Linked DNA regions of Alligator mississippiensis. The protein of the gene in region 2 interacts with the protein of the main gene of each other region in a biochemical or structural test. Links are inferred from orthologs where the notes say so. Each region holds a gene or a part of one and is shown on either strand. Other genes may lie near its edges.

Region 1 (8,828 bases), on a different chromosome or scaffold from region 2:
CTGCGCAGCTGGAAACTTCATCAGCCAATTAGCTGCCTCCTTTCACAATGTCTGCTTTATCCACTCTATTCTCTGTATATTATACATACTGGCATTAGACAATGAAGCGCCAATTACAGGCATTTGAATGACAAAGTGCTCCAATTACTCTGTGCTTGAAAGCATGTGCTCTCATCACTGGTGCTGAATTGCAACCGTAGCATCCTGCCGGATTCAGTGCTTCAGCTGCACAATAACTAGTGGGTCCCTCTGGAAACTACGCATCACACTGGTGAGCATAAAAAGCAGTTTCATACTCCAACATGCTAAAATGGGTCTCTGGTTCTTCAAGCAGAAGTTGTAAACTCCTAATGGCTCCTGTTTTAAGGTGATGGGGCATCCCCTGCTCCCAAAGGATGGGCCTGGAGTAGCTGGGAGCTCTGCCAAGCTGGTCCTCCCATATCACTCCTTATAGTGCCTTCTGCTGGAACAAAGCATTGGTTCTCAACCTCCTTAGACTAAAGGCAGCCCTCAGAAAATGCCAGCTCTTAGCTTTTGCTTCTTTTTCAACTTCCTGCCCAAGTGCAGATGGGCTGGACTTGATCTTATAAAGTCCCTTCCAGCCCCTAACATCTATGAATCTATGAATAGAGAAATTATTCTGATGCAAAGAACTTGGAAAGCCCACAGTAAAGCAGAAGGGTTTGACGCTATGGGTTCCTATTTGAAATCTCTGGGTTTATCTTGTGAATTGTATAAGTGTTGGCACATCTAATAGTGCTAATATTGCATGGCACCGCATACCATCCTTACAAGGATCTTGCAGAACCCTGGTTGAGAAGCACTGATCTAGAGCAACTCCTGTTGCTAGAGGCTGGGAACACAGTAGCTGCCAGCTGCCTGTGGCCAGCATGATACATTTCTTACTATTAACAATTCTGGGGAAAAAGAGGACCCAAGCAGCTGTGTTCTCTCTCTCTCAGCCAGCTCTCCCACACTATCCTTGCAGAAGCTTCTTCTCAGGGAGGCTGGGACTGAAGGACCTGTGAGCTACTCACAAGCAATATGCCTCAGAGAGCCTGGGATGGAAGAGAGCAAGTTACCAAGATCCAGCACTCTTCCTACATCCTATTCTGCTGTTCCTAGCACCAGAGCATGGAATTGGAATCGCTATGAGCTGTGGACAACCAGGGCTCCCTACAGTGCCCCCTGTTGGGAGAGGAGCAGTGGTGAGAAACAACCAGTCTTAATTAAGGTAGCTACAATTCCTACCAAGAACTCTTTTAGCTCTGAGTTCCTGTACAGCCAGCAGTAGTCCCCTTCCCCTGTTGTAATTCTTGCTCAGAAAGGTAAGGAGAAGTGATCGGAGGCCTCTGACCCCTGACAATCCCTCCCCTCCATGCTACTAAATGGTGTGGAAAATGTAACTTCCATTCCCAGGTGCTAGAACCACCCTCCCTTTCTGCCTGCTTTTCCCTACCCATGCTGGGGTCTTGAGCTGAAACGCCCATAAAGATTAACACACTTATAAGCGGGCACATGGTCTGCATTAGTCCAGTAAAATGTGCATGTTATTAACACAACTCCTGTTGACAAAGCCACAGGTATTAACCTCATAAAGCATTTTGACAGCTGGAACAAAGAGGGAAGAGAGACACCATTGCAAGCTTTTAATTGCTTTTTACATTGCAGTGGTAGATTCTATTTTATTTCATTTTTTTTTGGCGGATGAAGATTTAGAATGCGGGGTCAAAGCTCCACGCTTTGGGGAGAGATTTATACATGAAACCTGGCAGCAAGTCTCTTTAAGTCTCCAGCATGAAAAATATTTCATCCTGTTGGATGTAGAGTTATAGCTGGAGATGGGCCCATCTTAAAGTTCACTGCCCCCAAGCCTGATAAACTGGATCTGGCTGTCTTGGCTGTCTGTGATGGGAAGAACCAAAATGCTGGCTCAGAACAACCCCCAGACTTTGGGAAGCTTGAAACTAATGTGTGAAGAATTCTGCAGCCTAGGGGGAATCACAAGTCAAAGCAGCAAAAAGGAAGTCATTCTAGCTCTTCTGGGGTCTGTCTACACTGTGATCAAAGGTGTGACTGTAGCAGAGGAAGAAATCCACGTCTGCTCCACTCCGGCTAGCACTGGTAACAATAGCAGTGAAAGAATGTGGTAGCACAAACCTAAGCATGGGCTAGCAACCTGGGTCCCCAGGGAAGCTTGTATGCCTGGGCTAAACTCTGCTGGTTACATCTTCCCTGCTACTGATTAAAGCTGGAGTGGTTACACCTACCTTAGGTTCAATCCCACCCCAGTTGTAGTGCAAGACAAGTATTCATGTGATCCTGTCAGTGGGATACTCACCTGGACAAGCCAAAGAGCAAAGGAACTCTGCACTACTTGGGTATTTGTCAGTTATGGAGTTGGTGGTAATAAGACACTGAGCCTCTCAGGGCACAGACGCAGCTTGATTATCACCATATGCTTAGTGGTCTTTGTGAATGGAGTTAGAAGGGCCCAGTCCACCTTCCAGGTGAGACAGGTGTCCTAACACCATGATACCTTTGCCATTTCCTATATGGCTGGCTCCGCCAGAAGATACAAAGGAACTCTCCTCTGAACCCCAGAGGTGGTGCCTCTGAATTGGGGTTCAGCAGAGAAGGGATATTGGGGCTGCATCTGATCTGTGGATCAGGCCATGGGAGTGGCTGGATTTTTGCCAGGGCTGCATTGCTTTAAATAAATGATATGGCAAGAGATAGGGCACTCAGGTTTCTGCCCCTTGCCCTAAAGTGGGGCTAGCGCTTGCTTTGTCAGAAAGCAAATGCTGGACTGTATGGCACATAGGGACAGAGAGCCTGGATCAGACCCATGGTCCAGCTAGTTGGGTATCCCATCGCTGACAGTGGCTGGCACCAAATACTTCAGAGAGAAATGTGGGAGATGCAGAGTAGTAGGCAGGGGAGGACATGCCCCTCACATCCATCTTGTCCTGGTGCCTAATAGAGCTTGCCCTCGGCCCCGAAGCACTATGGTTAATCTTGCTTCCACCCCTCCTTGTCCCTCGTTCTGAGAGCTCAGGATATTCCCTATTGCCTACGTGAGCCTGACAATCTCTGGCAAGTCCTGCAGCCCCGTGTCCACACAACACACCGCTGTCCTGCAGCCTTTCCCTCCACTCTTGCCGCACTCCCCAGCTCTTTAATATTTCATTGGCCTCTGTACAGTGCCCGATGCGCGGACTTTCGTTTGTCCCTGGGCTTTAACTGCCTGTGCCCCGAGAACCGCCAGGAGCAGAGGGAGGTGCTTTAGTACCCAAGGGCTATTTCTCTGAGCTACTAGATGTCCCGACCCACACAGCACAGTCCCTGGGAACGGGGTGGGGCGGAGACTGAGGGGGAGCGCATGTGGGAACGGTGGCATGCTGGGGTCCCCGAGAAAGGGCGAGGCAGCTCCCCTCAGCCGGGTGGCTGGCCCATGCTCAGCCCCTGCTCCCCGAGGCGGCGGGAGCCCAGCTCCTGTGGGTGAAAGTCACCGGGGGCTGGGCTCTGCCCGCGGCTCAAGGGTGTGGGGTAGCTGTACCCAGCAGTCTTCAGAGAGGGGCCTTCAGGCTGCCACTCTCCCGGGATGGGGTGGCCTCTCCTGAGAGGGGCCACTACAGGCTGCAGCCTCACACCCGCGGAGTCCCTGGGAATGGAGGTGGGGGGAGCTGCCCTCTGTGCCCAGCCCCGTCCTGCCCCCGGCTCCCCCTGCCCAGCAGTCGCCCCCCAGGCATGGGCTCCCGGGGGCTGGGAGCTGCCCCGAGCCGGGGCCACTCACCCCTGCCCCCAGCAGCAGCAGCAGCAGCAGCAGCGCTGGCGGCGGCGCCTTGTCCATGGTGCGGGCGGCAGCGCGGACTCCTCCTGCCCCGACGGCGGCTACGACAGAGCAGCACCTGCGCGCCGGCTCGGCCCGTCTTATGGCAGCGCTGCCTCGTCCCCCCGCCCCGCCCCGCCCCGCCCCGCCCCGCCCGCGCCGCCTCCCGCCTCCCTCCGGCCCGCACCCCGCGCTGCCTGCCCCGCGCGCCCTCCTGGCCCGGCCTGGGTGCCCCACACACCCGCTCTGTCCTCATCCAGCCCGTCTCTCTGCCTGTCCCTCAACCTACAGCCGTGCACCCCTGCCTAGCCTCGTACACCCCTTCTGTTTATCGACCCCCACACCCCCTCTCCACTCTCATACATCCCTTCTATCTGTCCATCTGTCTGTTGCCATACACCCCTTCTATCCTCTTTCTTTCTTTCTTTCTTTCTTTCTTTCTTTCTTTCTTTCTTTCTTTCTTTCTTTCTTTCTTTCTTTCACCATAACCCTCACTCTATCCTCATCCACCCCTTCTACCACCTTACACCTCCACCCCTTCTATCTGTCTGTGTGCCTATCACCATAACCCCCTCTCTATCCTCATACACCCCCTCTATCTACCACCATAGACCCCTCTCTCTATCACCATACATCCCTTCTATCTACCCCATACACCCTCTCTTTTTATGCTCATTTACCCCCATACACCCCCTCTCTGTATCCTCATACAGCCCTTCTGTCTCTCTTTGTCTGTCTCCTACCATACACACACCTCTCTCTAGCCTCATACACCCCTTTCATCTATTGCCATCTTTCTGTCTGCCTGGTCTTTTATTGATTTTTTTACTTGCAGTACAGAACCACCAAGAAGCCTCCCTCAAGTGGAGAAACTTGCATGTGGTTGTGCAACTGAGCTCAAGACTGGGTAACAGATGCAGAGGAAATTCCCCTTCCAGCTCCCCCTCCCCAGCTGGGATCTTTTCCAAAGCAGGGTTTGCTGCTGAGATGTCCAGATGGCAATGAGCATTGCAGACTGCCCTTGTACGAGAAGTGCTACAGCATGCTGCACTAATGACCTCCTAACACTCCAGAGTCTCTTTGTTAAAAGATCCCATGGTATCCTACAAGAATGGCCTCAAATATGCTAGAGGATCTATCCCCCAGCTGCAGATGAGAAATGCACAACACAGTCAGGAGTGAGGAGGTGTCTTTTGCATACACCACATCTTTAGTCCAGGATGCTGTGTGTGGGTCTGGTTTCCCAGAACATCTTGAAGACTATGGATGGTCCCAAGCCAGTGATGGTAAGAGCATAAGGATGCCTCTGTCACACTCCCTTTCCCTCAAGCCATACCCCTTGTATTAGCAGCCAAAAGGGGGTTCGGGGAGGGCTGTTGCCCAGGTTCTCTGGCCCTGGAGGATCCAACAAGGCTGAGAAAAGCCTGGCATTGACAGGAATGCTGGCACTGAGGTACCTACACCATCAGCTTTGGGGAAAGTGACTGCACTGAGGAGGCAATCAATGCAGTCCCTTGTCTCACCTTAGCAATACTCTGGAGGGATTACCGTGGTTAATACTGTACTAATTAAACAGTCACCCTGGTGTTTGGGGTCGCTGTCAGAGAATGGTGGTGCCATCAGTAGGGGATAGAACATAAGGCTGGAAGGGAACCCTGAGTCCTCTGTGTATAAGCTATCCCTGGGTCATTGCAGCCAGCTAGCTCCCCCTTGTTCTTCAGTCCAAGTTAGGAAGGACCATATCAGGGCTACAACACTGCCTGGCCCTCAGGAGACCAGGGTTCTTTTTCTGGCTCAGTTGCAAAAGCTGGATTGTACTCTCTACCAGGGGTCAGCAAAGTTTTTGTGCAGGGTGCCAAAATCACCCATGACCTCAACTTGTAAAATGTTGGTATGCCAGGGGTGGATGGCAGGGGAGCTGCAAAGGGCTTGATCCTAGTTGTGGCAGTGCAGCCTTGGCCCCATCCTCACCGTCCACCCCAAGGCATGTGTGCCAAGCAAAATGCCTTCACATGTCACATTCTGGCACCCATGCCAGGGGTTATCTACCCCTGCCAATTGTGTGCTAGCACAGGCTCCCTTCAATGATTCTTTGGTCCATGCATCCACGGTGGCTTCATCCTCTGGTGTGGTCAAGCAGGAGCAGAGTCTGAAAAGAGAGCCACCTCCTATTTCATAAAATTAATGCTGTGGGTATTTCCAAAGAGCAACAAGGCAGGGGACCCGCAGAGAATAGCTTGGCAGACAATACATCCTTAAATCTCTTCTTGCCTTTTAGGCAAGTAAGACCCTCTCAATCAACCTGATTTCCCCCATCTACACAGGAATAACAGTCCCTTTGTGTATTTCAGTGATTCTCAGCTAGGGCACCAGGGCACACAAGGGTGCTGCAAGATCCTTTGAAGGGTACCTTGAGATGTGAGGAGATAAGCAGATAAGTGCAGACTCAGGCTCAGTCACCGCCTAGCTGTTACCCACACCCACTGCCTGATCCCTCTGCACTGTAATTAATAAGTTAATTTTTGAAATGGGGTGCTGCTCAATTCACAAAAATTATGGAGGGGGGCTGTGACAGTCCTGTGCCCCCACTCCCACCTGGCTTACCTCCATGCTGCAGCCCAGGTGGCTGGGCCACAATCAAAACGGCCTGCACGACGTGGCCAGAGCTGAAACTGCTGGTTGGCCCAGAACCTGATGGCTGCAGGCTCAAAATGGGCCCAGTAGTCAGAGAGCCAGGGGTGACACATCCAGGCACCAGGAAGGGAGCCGGATGCTTGCCTTGCTGCCAGAAGAGACAGCAAGGCACACCTTCACTTCTCCTGTTAGCCGTGCACCAAGGAGAGCACTGCAGTTGCACACTGCAGAGCAAGTGACTGGGAAGGACTCTGGTGTATCCCCGACGGCCAGCTGGAAGCTGGCTGTGCTCCCTGAGTCTAAAAGGCCAAGGTGAACAGCAGAACGCTCCCTCACCCCCAGAGTCTGGGGAACCAAAAGAGATGCCAGCCTGCCCGACTCCACCAATGATGGGCTGAGCACATCTGGCCCAGTCGCCTGTCCCAGGTGAAAGATGGGAAGCAGAGTTCTCAGTACAGTATCTGTTTGCCAGACTGGGTCCTTGGAACATGGGATCAGTGCCCATTCAAAGAATAGACTGCCAAAGCTGGCAGTACAGGCAATAAACAGAGCTTATCTTGTGATAATGCAGAGGAGATTGAAATGAAAGGATCTGCCTGGAGACATGTTGCAAAGTTGACTCTAACAGGGAGGTCAGGAAGAGAGTGAATTGGCTAAATGATGGGTGGCAGGTCCGTTTACTACCATCACCAGAGAACTGCCTGGGAACACACAGGTCAGGTGGGGGTGGGAGAGGGCAGCCCACTGGGCTCTGCAGGCACTGGACTAGGGTGGACCCCAACAGGGAGTCTGAGATCCACACACCCCACTGGAGCAACAGCACACTCAAAGTGTGCCAACTGGTGACTGGTGGGACACCAGATCCCATATGATAGCCACATGGGATGCCACGGGACAGTGGCAATATCTGGCCTGGTTGCCAAATGGGGAAGAACCCCAGTAGAAAGCCAGCTTGCTGGGAAGGCTATTCTGTCCCAAGGGGGGAGTGCAGTGAGCACCTACCCCATCGCACTCAGGAGTGACCTGCTCAGCATGGGGGCAATGTTGCCCTGCCCACCACCCAAGCAGGGCTCTTTTTGGTTAAGTTTCTGCTTTTGTGTTGTTATTTTCACAAGTCAAATGACTAGCAGCGAGTACCCTGTGGCATCTTTTTCAATGGTTGAAGAAGGAAATAGTGGTTGTGCCAGGGCACTGCCAGAAACCACTGGAACACCCGAGTGGAAAGGGGTGGGGTGTAGGGGAGGAGAAGCCCCTGGACATCAAAGGAAGCACTGAGCCCCACCTCCAAAGTTACTTTAGGAACAAGAAGTCATGGCAGGTGGTTAGATCCAGGTGTGAGGCCAGGTGGCAGGGCATGCCCCTGTTCAGTGGGCATGGGCCTGTCACAGGGGCCTTGAGTCTAATGAGGGGTGCCTTGAGTCTAAAAATGTTGAGAACCATCAATCTATTCTGACTGTAAACTCTCTGGAATAAAGACTGTCTGTTCCTACAGGGTTATATATAACACCTTGAACAAAGGGGCACTGAACTAAAGTGGGACCATTGCACATAAACAGGAAATAAACTATATTTGCTAGCTTCATTTGGTAGCCAGCTCCCATTTTTTTCCCCAGACCTGGGCTCTGATATCCCTTACTGAGTGGACACTGTTCCCTTCAGCCTTAGTGGGCTCATTGACTCAAAAGAAAATTCTGTCTTGCCTCCTTCCCTGTCCTTGACCCTGAGACCTCTGATGAGCTAAATTGTGCACTTGTGAGAGGAAAGAGTTGAAAATGTCACTCCTTTTTTTTCATCCCAGCAACACTCTTTGGCCCCTGAGTGGGGGTAGGGAGGGGACATGGGTCTAGAGCTACTCATTGGAGCATGACATGATCTGAATGCTCTCTGTGGTGCTCATCAAACAATTAATGGGCTTTATTCTGGCTTTAATAATGGATGGCAGCTTAAAAATTACCCAGCAAACAGTATGTGTTCCTGTCCTCTCCTGAAATGGTCTCTAACCCCAAGGGGGAAAGGGAAAGAAGGAGCTCTCTAAGTGAGTTGACTGCAGAACGGAGGGGCAGGCAAAGTATGCAGGGAAGGGGGAGTGCTCCCTGATGCTCAGGAAGGCATCAGAATAAAAACAGTCTTTGCAATTCCAAGCTAAAGTGAAACTGAAAGGGGAGAGAGAAGGAAGAGGGTCCTGTATCTTCACTCCTTCACCCTCCAATCCTGGAAAGTACTGAGAGACAGTAAGTTTTGGGTCTGAGACAGCTGAGTTGAAGATCTGGCCCTGTCTAGGAGTTCATTGTAAATGTTTGAATAAGAAAAAGGAACCTTAAGGAAGAGAGTGACCCTTATTAAAATATTGCCTTGACTTCTG
Region 2 (9,049 bases):
TCAGCAGCTGCTCTCTCTGCCATTCACACCAGCATAACCTTGACTTCCTCAGTATTGCTCCTGATCTTAAACCAGCCCAAGAGGAGAATGTCTCGTGCACCAAGGGGGCTTCCAAAGGACCTGAAGTCACGAGCCCACACTTTCTGCGGTGTGGCGCAGCACCAGTGGGGTGCTCGCCACTTCGGGGCTATCACAGGCTTTGGGGGAGCTTGTGTTTGGGAGCAGCAGGGAAAAGCCTTCCCGATAAACACTGGAGGGGGGTGGGGTGTCAGAGCAGTGTGAGGGCTCTGCCACTTTAAGACCTGGGTCAGGCAGCAGGCAGGTGCGGCCCAGCCCTAACGAGTGGCCATTTTAAGTCCCAGGGCGGGAGGCAGCACTTGCTGCCAGGCACCGTGGAAGTAACATTGCCGGGAAGAACTGCTGCTCCAAGACCAGCGTAGAGATATGGGTGGGGAAGGAGGAGGCCCCAGTGGTCCTGGGCATGGCCTAAAGCTGCACCCTGCTGGGGCCGGGAGAGCTGGTGGTCCGGCCTCTGGTGGGGCAGGGCCATTGAAATGCCAGGTTTGAGGACCTTCCCGGTGAAAGGTAGGTCCGGGTGCCTAAGCCCTCCCCCTCCCACCCACTAGGCTATGTGGTAACATTGGAGAGGGAGTAGTGGGGCCGGGGAAGTCCATAGGGGACATCTGAGCCCAATGGGGTGCACGACCCTGAAGGGGTGTGGTGAAGGCCAGGTAAGCTTTGAGACGCGCCTGAGCCCGAAGGGGTGGAAGACCCCGTAAGATGAGCAGTCGAGGCCCTGGTGAGAAGGGGCGAACTCTGGGCCAGGCATGCCGACAAACAGCATCTGAGCCTCCTGGGTGTTTGACCCCAGAGTAGAGAGTGGGAGGGGTGAAGCCCTGTGAGTGAGGGGCATGAGTTCAGGCCCTGTGGGCAGGAGCTTGGGTGAAGGCCCTGCTAGCACAGGGGCCTGGGTTAGGCCCAGGGAAGCCCTCAGGTGCCCAAGCCCAATTAGAGGGCAACAGAGGAGGAGCTGCAAGGAGAAGGGGGTGAGCCATTAGCCCCTTGCTGGAGAGCAGCTGGGGGAGTTGCCCAGGGAGGAGACCGGGGCAGAGTCAGCACAGCATTTAGTGAGCAGCCCAGAGCTTGTGCTGATGAGGGCAGAGAGAGATGCCCAAAAGGCTGTGCACTTGTTGGCCAGGGAGTGAAAAGCAGCAAGCCTGAGGACCCTCGGGGTGAGGGCAAGGTGCATGTGGTCCCCAGGAGAGAAGGGGCAGTAGGAGTGAGGCCCAGGAAGGGTGGGATGAAAGAGACGGGGTGAGAGCAGGAGTGTGAGAGGGGGGAGGTATGAGTGTGGCCCTTACCAGGGCAGAAAGAGGCTCAATACTGTGACGAGTTGGGCCTGGCCTCAGGCCCGAGCTTAGCACAGCTGCGAGCAAAATCTGCAAGGCTTGGGACATGTGTAGGGATGGTTGGAGTGTGTATTTTGGCCCTCAGACACGGAGGCCCTCCAAGGGCAGCTTCCTTCCTAATTACCAACTGGATTATTTCCAAACCAGTCATGCCCAAAGAGGGGTGGGTGGCCAGCAGAGTGCTGGTCGGGGAGTTCCCACTTCTTGCACTTGGCCTTCGACTATGGCTTTAGGCAGTGAAAGGTGTCACATGAGAGCATGCTGCCACGCAGGCATGCTGTGGGACCCATGCACTGTGGAAGTATCTCTGCAGTGTATCCTAATTTGCAATTGTAACTTGGCCATATTTGCAAATACCTTGTAATATAAACCATGGAATGTAACAGCAATATAAAATGCTACTTGCACTGAGACAGGCCACACCACGATTGCTGTAGAAACTACACCATTGATATCTGCAGACTTTTCAGCTGCCTTTTCCTCTAACTAGTGTAACTGCAGATGGTGTTGCTATTTAAATCGACCTCTAGTCCTCTCTGGAATATAACTGAAGTATCTGTCTAGGGTGTGAGGAGGAAAAAGAGTATTTATCTTTTAACAGATTATCTGTTTCTTAATTTTTCTTGTGGTTTCCTTTGCGGGTATTGTGGGGAGGAGTTACTCAAAACATTCACTTCCCTTGCATGTCATTCAGCAGTTCCTGCCCCTGTTACATCTCTTCAGAATATTCTCCTCGTAGTGAAGAGCTCTCCACCCCGCCTGCCCCACACAAGCCTTTTTGGGAACTTATTTCAAGTGTGCAGGTTCCAGGTGTGAGGCAGGACCGGGACAAGGATGGTGTTAATTTACACATGTTCCCTGCTACTGATAAAGAGCAGCAAGGGATTTACATGATAATTCCTTGCTACTGTTTATCTCCTTACTGGTTTGTTGCTGGCTGAGCAGGATACGTTGCCTCATCTTCCCAGTCTGACAGTGAGCTCTTTTGCCTTTTTGACTCTAAACCCAGCTCTGCATGTGTGTGTGCACGCGCAGTTGTGCCAGCATGTCGTGCAGGAGTAGTTGACTCGACTGAACTCGGTTACGACCACCACGGGCTGACAAGTTACATATTTCTGTTAGGATTCTGACTGAGGGACTGCAGCAAGACCCATCTGCTCCTGATTCAACTACAGTTTTTTTGCATTGAGACATTAAGCTCTTCCTACAGAGAAGAAACAAACACACACTAACACCTACTCCACTGACTTGGGCCTCAGTGTGAGGTAAACCTTCACTTCCTTGTCCATTAGTCTTGACAGAAACCCCATGCAGCTTGCACGATGTCACTCTCAATGACTTGGCGGCTGCCTTCAGTGCAGACGCTGACAAGCCATCGACCTTCCCGCGCTGCCGGGTCCTGGGGGCAATGCTAGGCGAGACCTGGCGGGGGGTGGGATTCCCCTCCGCAGGCTCCCAATGTAAAGGAGGTCATCTGCACTCGCTCAGCTGCCTGCGTCAGCGGGCACAGTCGCTCCATGCGAGCGAACATCTGGTGCTAATGGGTATTACGAGTTCTGAGCGAAGGCAGGAACGGCCTAAATCCTGCCGAGGGAGTTTAATCGCGGACCCTCCGCCGCCCCTGCACAAAGCGCCCTGTGCTCTCCGCCTGCAACAGGTGCGGGTGCGCTCGGCGGATGCCCTGGCACGCCCCAGCGCCGGGGGCTCTGCGGGGAGGGTGGGGGGCAGGTCCCGTGTGCGTGTGGAGCAGGACGGGGTACTTTACACCCTGCTTCGAGCACGGCCGCTCCTGTCGGGACGGGGGCACTTGCCAGCAGAGGTCCCCCTTGCTGCAGCCGGGCTGACACGCGCGGCGCGGCGCGGCGCGGCTCTGGCTTGGGTGGGCTGAGCGGGGTCCTCCTGGCGCGGGGACAGACCGCTCTCGCTGGCGCGGGTCAGTCCCGACCCCGCACGCGCCACGTCCGCCCGGCCCGGCCCGGCCCGGCCCGTGCGAGCGTGGCCCTCTCCCGCGGCGGCACGAGTGCGGGAGCCCTCCCTGGCAGCGGCGGGCAGTGCCAGCTGTCTCCTGACACGCTTCACCTTGCCCGCCCCGGTACCCCGCGCACGGCGCCCCGCCGCAGCACCGAGCCTGGCCGGGCACGTGCGGGCGTCCTCCCCGCCGCGCCGCGCCGCGCCGCGCCGGGGGCTCCGGCTCCAGCTGCGGGCGCGCAACGGCGGCGCTGCCCGCGGGCGGATGCGGCCGGAGCCGGAGCGGAGCCCTGCGGGCGGGGAGGCGGGGGCGCCGCTGGCCGGCACGCGGGGCTCGCCCGGGAGGCTCCGCACGGACCCGCGCCCGCCCCGCCCCGCCCCGTCCCGTCTCGTCCCGTCCCGCCGCCCGCGCCCTCACCTGCGGCTCCCGCCGGTCCCGCGGCGCCGAGCGTGGCCGTGGCCGTGGCCGCTGCCGCCGCCGCCGCCGCCGCCTCCTGCAGCGCTCGCCTCGCGGGCTGCGACCTGCCCCGCGCGCCGCCGCGCCGCCGGGTCCTAGCGCCGCGCCCCGCACCGGCCCCGGCACGGCTCCCGCCCCGCCCACGGCCCCGGCCCCGGCCCGCGCCCGCCGCCCCGACACCTGCCTGAGGAGCTCCTTGTGCCGCTGGCCCCTGTCCCGCACGCTGCACCGACGAGGAGCTCCTCCCTTGCCGGGGCTCCGGGCCCCGCTCCTTGAGTGCCCTGCGTGTCCGCGGGGCCGGTGGCCGGCGCTGCACACCCCGGGGCAGGGCGGGAAGGGCCCGGCTGGCCGGGCACGGTCCTTGCGGCACTGCCCGAACCTCCCCGCCCACGTTGCGGTCGGGCTGCCCCACGAGCTCCGCCACTGGCTTCACATCTGGGTCTGTCATGACGGGGAGCGGCGGGGCTGATAGGTTTAGTCTGGGCCGGGGCACGACTTGTTCTGGCATCCGCTGAGCAGCTGCACAGAGGCAAATGGTAGGTGCGTGACCACGGCTGGCATCCCACATGTCTTTGCCTTGTGTTGGGTTGCGCTTGATTTGGGAAGATCAAAAAGAAAAAGCAGAGTGTTACTTCTGTAACATCAGAAGTGGGTTTTTTCACAATATCAGCTTGAATTTACATTATAGTTTCATAGCTTCATAGTTGGTCGGGTCGGATGGGACCCGAGCAGATCCTCAAGTCCGACCCCCTGCCCTGGCAGGAAAGAGCGCTGGGGTCAAACAACCCTGGCGAGGTGATTATTGAGCCTCCTTTTGAAGACCCCCAGGGTAGGAGCCAGCACCACTTCTCTTGGACGTTGGTTCCAGATCCTAGCCGCCCTGGCAGTGAAGTCGCGCCTCCTGACATCTAGTCTGAATCTGCCCTCTGCCAGCTTGTGACCGGTATTTCTTGTCACTCCTGGCAGCGCTCGGGGGAACGGGCACCCCCCAATGCCTGCTGGTCCCCCTGACTAGTTTGTAAACAGCCACTAGATCCCCCCTCAGCCTTCTCTTGTGAAGGCTGAACAGCTTCAGGTCCCATTGCTTCTCCTCGTCGGGCCTGCCCTGCTGCCCCCAGATCATGCGAATGGCCTCCTCTGGACTCGCTCCATGCTGGCCACATCCCTCCTGAAGTGCGGCGCCCAGAACTGGACGCAGTACTCCAGCTGCGGCCTGACCAGTGTCGCACAGAGGGGGAGGATCACCTCCTTGGACCTGCTCAAAAGGAGGCATCTGTGGATGCACGACAAGGTGCGGCTGGCCTTCCTGCCCGTGTCCCGACACTGTCAGCCCGTGTTCATTTTGGCATCAATAATGACTCCAAGATCCTTTTCTGCCTCTGCTCTGATGAGAAGGGAGTTCTCCAGCCTGTAGGTGTGCTGCTGGTTCTTCCTCCCCAGGTGCAGCACCTTGCACTTGTCAGTGCTGAACCCATCCTGTTCTCATCCGCCCACCCCTGGAACCTGTCTAGGTCTGATACCAGCCTATTCCTCCCTTCTAGCGTGCCCACTTCCCCCCACATCTTAGTGTCATCAGCAAATTTGAACGAGGAGCTTTTTACCCCCTTGTCCAAGCCGCTGATGGAGATGTTGAACAGCGCGGGTCTGAGGACTGAGCCCGGGGGACCCCACTGCCCACAGCCCTCCAGGTCGAAAAAGACCCGTCCACCACCACTCTGGGTATGGCCCTCCAGGCAATTGGTGACCCATCTGACTGTGTAGGGGTCGACACCACAATCTCCTAATTTTTTAACGAGAATGAGGTGAGAGACAGTGTCAAAGGCCTTCCTAAAGTCCAGAAAGACTACGTCCACCGCGACACCTGCATCCAAGGATTTTGTGACCTGGTCGTAGAAGGCCACCGGGTTGGTCTGACAGGACCTGCCTCTAATGAGCCCGTGTTGGTTGCCCCTCAGCATGATCCCCCTGCCGGCCCCTCGCAGATGTGCTCCCGGATAATGTTCTCAAAGAGCTTCCCCAGGACCGAGGTAAGACTAACAGGCCTGTAGTTTCCTGGGTCCCCCTTCCTCCCTTTTTTGAAAAGGGAGACCACATTGGTCCTTTTCCAGACCTCTGCCACCTCACCAGAGCACCACGAGTGCTTGTAAAGCCATACCAGGGGTCCCACAATGACCTCTGCTAATTCCCTCAGCACCCTGGGGTGAAGATCGTCAGGACCTGCTGATTTGAACACGTCCAGTCCTTCCAGAAGTTCCCAGACTAGGCCTTCGCTGACCCTGGGCCTGGGTGCGCCCCGCCTGGGTCCGTCGGGGATCCTGGTGGAGGGGATGACCTGGTCTCTGCTTAGAAAAATGGAGGCAAAGAAATTGTTAAATAGGTTAGCTTTGTCATCTGGTGAGACCACCAGATTTTCTAGCATGTCCTGCAGAGGCCCCACGTTATTTGGTACCTTCTTTTTACCCCCTATGTATTTAAAAAAGGATTTCTTGTTATCCTTGATCCGGGTCGCTAGTCCCAGTTCCATCTCCGCCTTGGCCTTCCCGCCCGCCCCAATACAATCCCGAGCAACGGAGGCATAGTCCTCCCTTCCACCGGGTGCACGCCTCCTTTTTAGCTTGGAGACGTTCCTGGATGCCTTTGGTGAGCCATGGGAGCTTCTGAGCACTCTTGCCCCCTTTGATCTGTGTTGGGATTGCCACTCTTTGGGCTTGAAGGATCATCTCCTTCAGGGATGACCACTCTTCTCGGACTCCCAACTCCCCACCCCTCCAGGACCTCAGTGCCTCCCCGACTGGTCTCCTTAGCTCAGTGAAATTGTTCCTCCTGAAGTCTAGGGCTGCTGTCTTCCTGTCACGCAGGTGGTCACCAGGGCATCACCCGTGGCCAGGACCAGGTCTAACAGGGCATTTCCCCTGGTGGGACTGTGCACTTCCTGGGTTAGGTGGAGGTCCTGTATCTCGGCTAGGAACCTACGTGAGCGGTCACACCTGGCTGACTGCTCCTCCCAGCAGATGTCCGGGTAGTTCAGGTCACCCAGGATGACCACGTCCTTTGACTTAACTGCCTCCGCGAGCCGACCTGAACATTCTCGGTCCAGCTCTTCCCCCCGGTTGGGTGGTCTGTAGTAGACCGACCCCCACTGTTAAATCCCTTTCTCCCTGACCCCCTTGTATTCTAACCCAGAGCACTTCAGCTTGCCCCTCCTCTGACCCTGTGCTGCTCGTGGAGGATGTGAATTGTTCTTTGACGTAGAGTGCTACGCCCCCGCCTTTCCTCCCTGTCCTGTCCCTTCTGTACAGCCCATAGCCCTTGATGTTCACCGCCCAGTTGTGCGTTGGATCCCATCACATTTCTGTGAGCCCCGCTATGTCTGGGTTTGTGTTAGCTAGCAGGAGGGCAAGTTCCTCCTGCTTGTTCCCCATACTACAAGCATTAGTATAGAGGCATTTAAGGCCTCCTGAAGGTGTATGCACCGCCCCCTAATCCCAGGACTATCTGGGCCCCTGTCTCTTACCTGGATATGTTTTGTGCTGAAAGATTTATCACTTCCAATTAAGTAAAGGAATTTCCAGAAAGTTGTGATGTAGTGATGATCCTAGTTACCTTGTGTAATGTTGTCTGAAGGCTCCAGTCTTAAACCTATGTGATATGTGATGGGATTTACATTTTTAACTTGCACACGCTTCGCAGAGTGAAGACACTGAGAACGTTTGGCCAAATAGATGTTGACTGGAAGGGTAGAAGGATATTGAATGCGTGATGATCGCACAACTACATCCAGCCCTATTTTACATACAAAGAGGGAAGGGTCGTCTGGTTTAAAGAATATGTACTGAGAGGTAGCTAGTGTGTTACTCTGAAGTTTGGCAGAAGGCGGGGCAGTGTGGCACCTTTATCAACTAACTTGTTCAGAAAGGCATGAGCTTTTGTAAGCAACTGCCTACTTCGTCAGGTGCTACAAAATATGAGACAGTCTCCTTTCATTGAGACATTTTGTATAGCAATGCTTCATAGTCCCTTGTTTATGACACAGTTAGAGAAAACCAGTATCCTACCCATGGATTACAAATAAATGGGTCATGCAAGTCAACTCATTACTGATTGACTGTAGAACTCAGTCTTCTGTAAATATTTTTTAACTGTTTCTGCCACATGGACTCCCAGTGAAATCAATCATGCACAAAGAACTCGGTCAGGAGACAGTCAATCAGCAGGTCAATCCATACTTGCTTTGTTTGTAGTGTGCTGCAGTTCTGACCAAGCGATGCTCGGAAGCTTTCCATATTCGTGCGTTACGTAAATGAGCTATGCTGATCCTGTTCTTTCTTGGCTGGCTGGGATTTTAACGGGTGCAGTAGGAATGCTCTTGTCTCGCTGATGCTTTTTTATAAGGAAACGTCTTCAAGATCCGGCACAAAAGGCATTCGGATGAATACAGGCAGGCTGTTCTCAGCTGTCCGAGTGTGGTGACCTTAAATGAAAATGTGACGCGGGGCAGTGTGAGAGCGTGGAGCAGAGCCTTTACCCGTATCAGTTCTTTGTTGTGCCAGTCTCAGAATAATGAGCATGACAGATCTCTACTGGCCACCAGGAACTGCAGTTAGCACGGGAGCGTACAAAGGCCTGCAGCTCTGGTGAACTTGGTCAGTCCCAGCATTTTATTAGCAGTTGGTGTTAGTCATAGCAATCTGGCAGAGTGGGTTGTTTGGGCCATTCAAATTTGAACTATTCTGTGAAGTTTGCAAGAAACAGGGAGGGCAGTGCAGAGCTGCACTCTCATAAGAGCCCCACGAGGTGCAGAACACATCTTTCCTGTAGCTGGATAGTTTTCTCCAGTGAAGCCTGTTTTTACACAGAGATGCAACGGGATGTTCCTCTTTAGCACTAGTCTGCATCAGTATGCTGCCCAGGCTCTTGCTTGATGTGGCTTTGGTGATCACAGTTTGTTGAAGTTAAAGTTCACTAGAAATGAATTATAGCTCATTTTAATGTGTGGAAAGCCCTTAGGTACTACTTTGTCTGGACCACATGGTGAAATCTTCCCTTTCCTGGCTTAGGCAGCAAACTGGTCGTCAAAGCCCCCACCTTTGTAGGTGTGTTCTTTGTACCAGCTCTTCCTCCTTTGTCCCAGATGAGCCTCTGCTGCCTTCCCTACTGCGCACTCTTCCACCAGTCCCTTCTCTTTGCCATGGTCAAACACCCTCATGACTTGGGG

Evidence for each region.
Region 1: the proteins of NGF (region 2) and NGFR form a complex in vitro, tested with the Homo sapiens proteins (2 studies listed by BioGRID and IntAct, with this or other methods). The link is inferred for Alligator mississippiensis from reciprocal best matches to the Homo sapiens genes NGF and NGFR.

The regions. Positions count from the first base shown.
Region 1 is NC_081827.1:168,899,970-168,908,797, reverse strand, and holds the start of NGFR (tumor necrosis factor receptor superfamily member 16), read right to left. Parts: upstream 3,916-8,828; 5' UTR 3,854-3,915; coding exon 3,797-3,853; intron 1-3,796. UniProt on the Homo sapiens protein: Low affinity receptor which can bind to NGF, BDNF, NTF3, and NTF4. Forms a heterodimeric receptor with SORCS2 that binds the precursor forms of NGF, BDNF and NTF3 with high affinity, and has much lower affinity for mature NGF and BDNF.
Region 2 is NC_081837.1:45,830,420-45,839,468, forward strand, and holds the start of NGF (beta-nerve growth factor), read right to left. Parts: upstream 3,876-9,049; 5' UTR 3,796-3,875; intron 586-3,795; exon of another isoform or gene 236-585; intron 1-235. UniProt on the Homo sapiens protein: Nerve growth factor is important for the development and maintenance of the sympathetic and sensory nervous systems.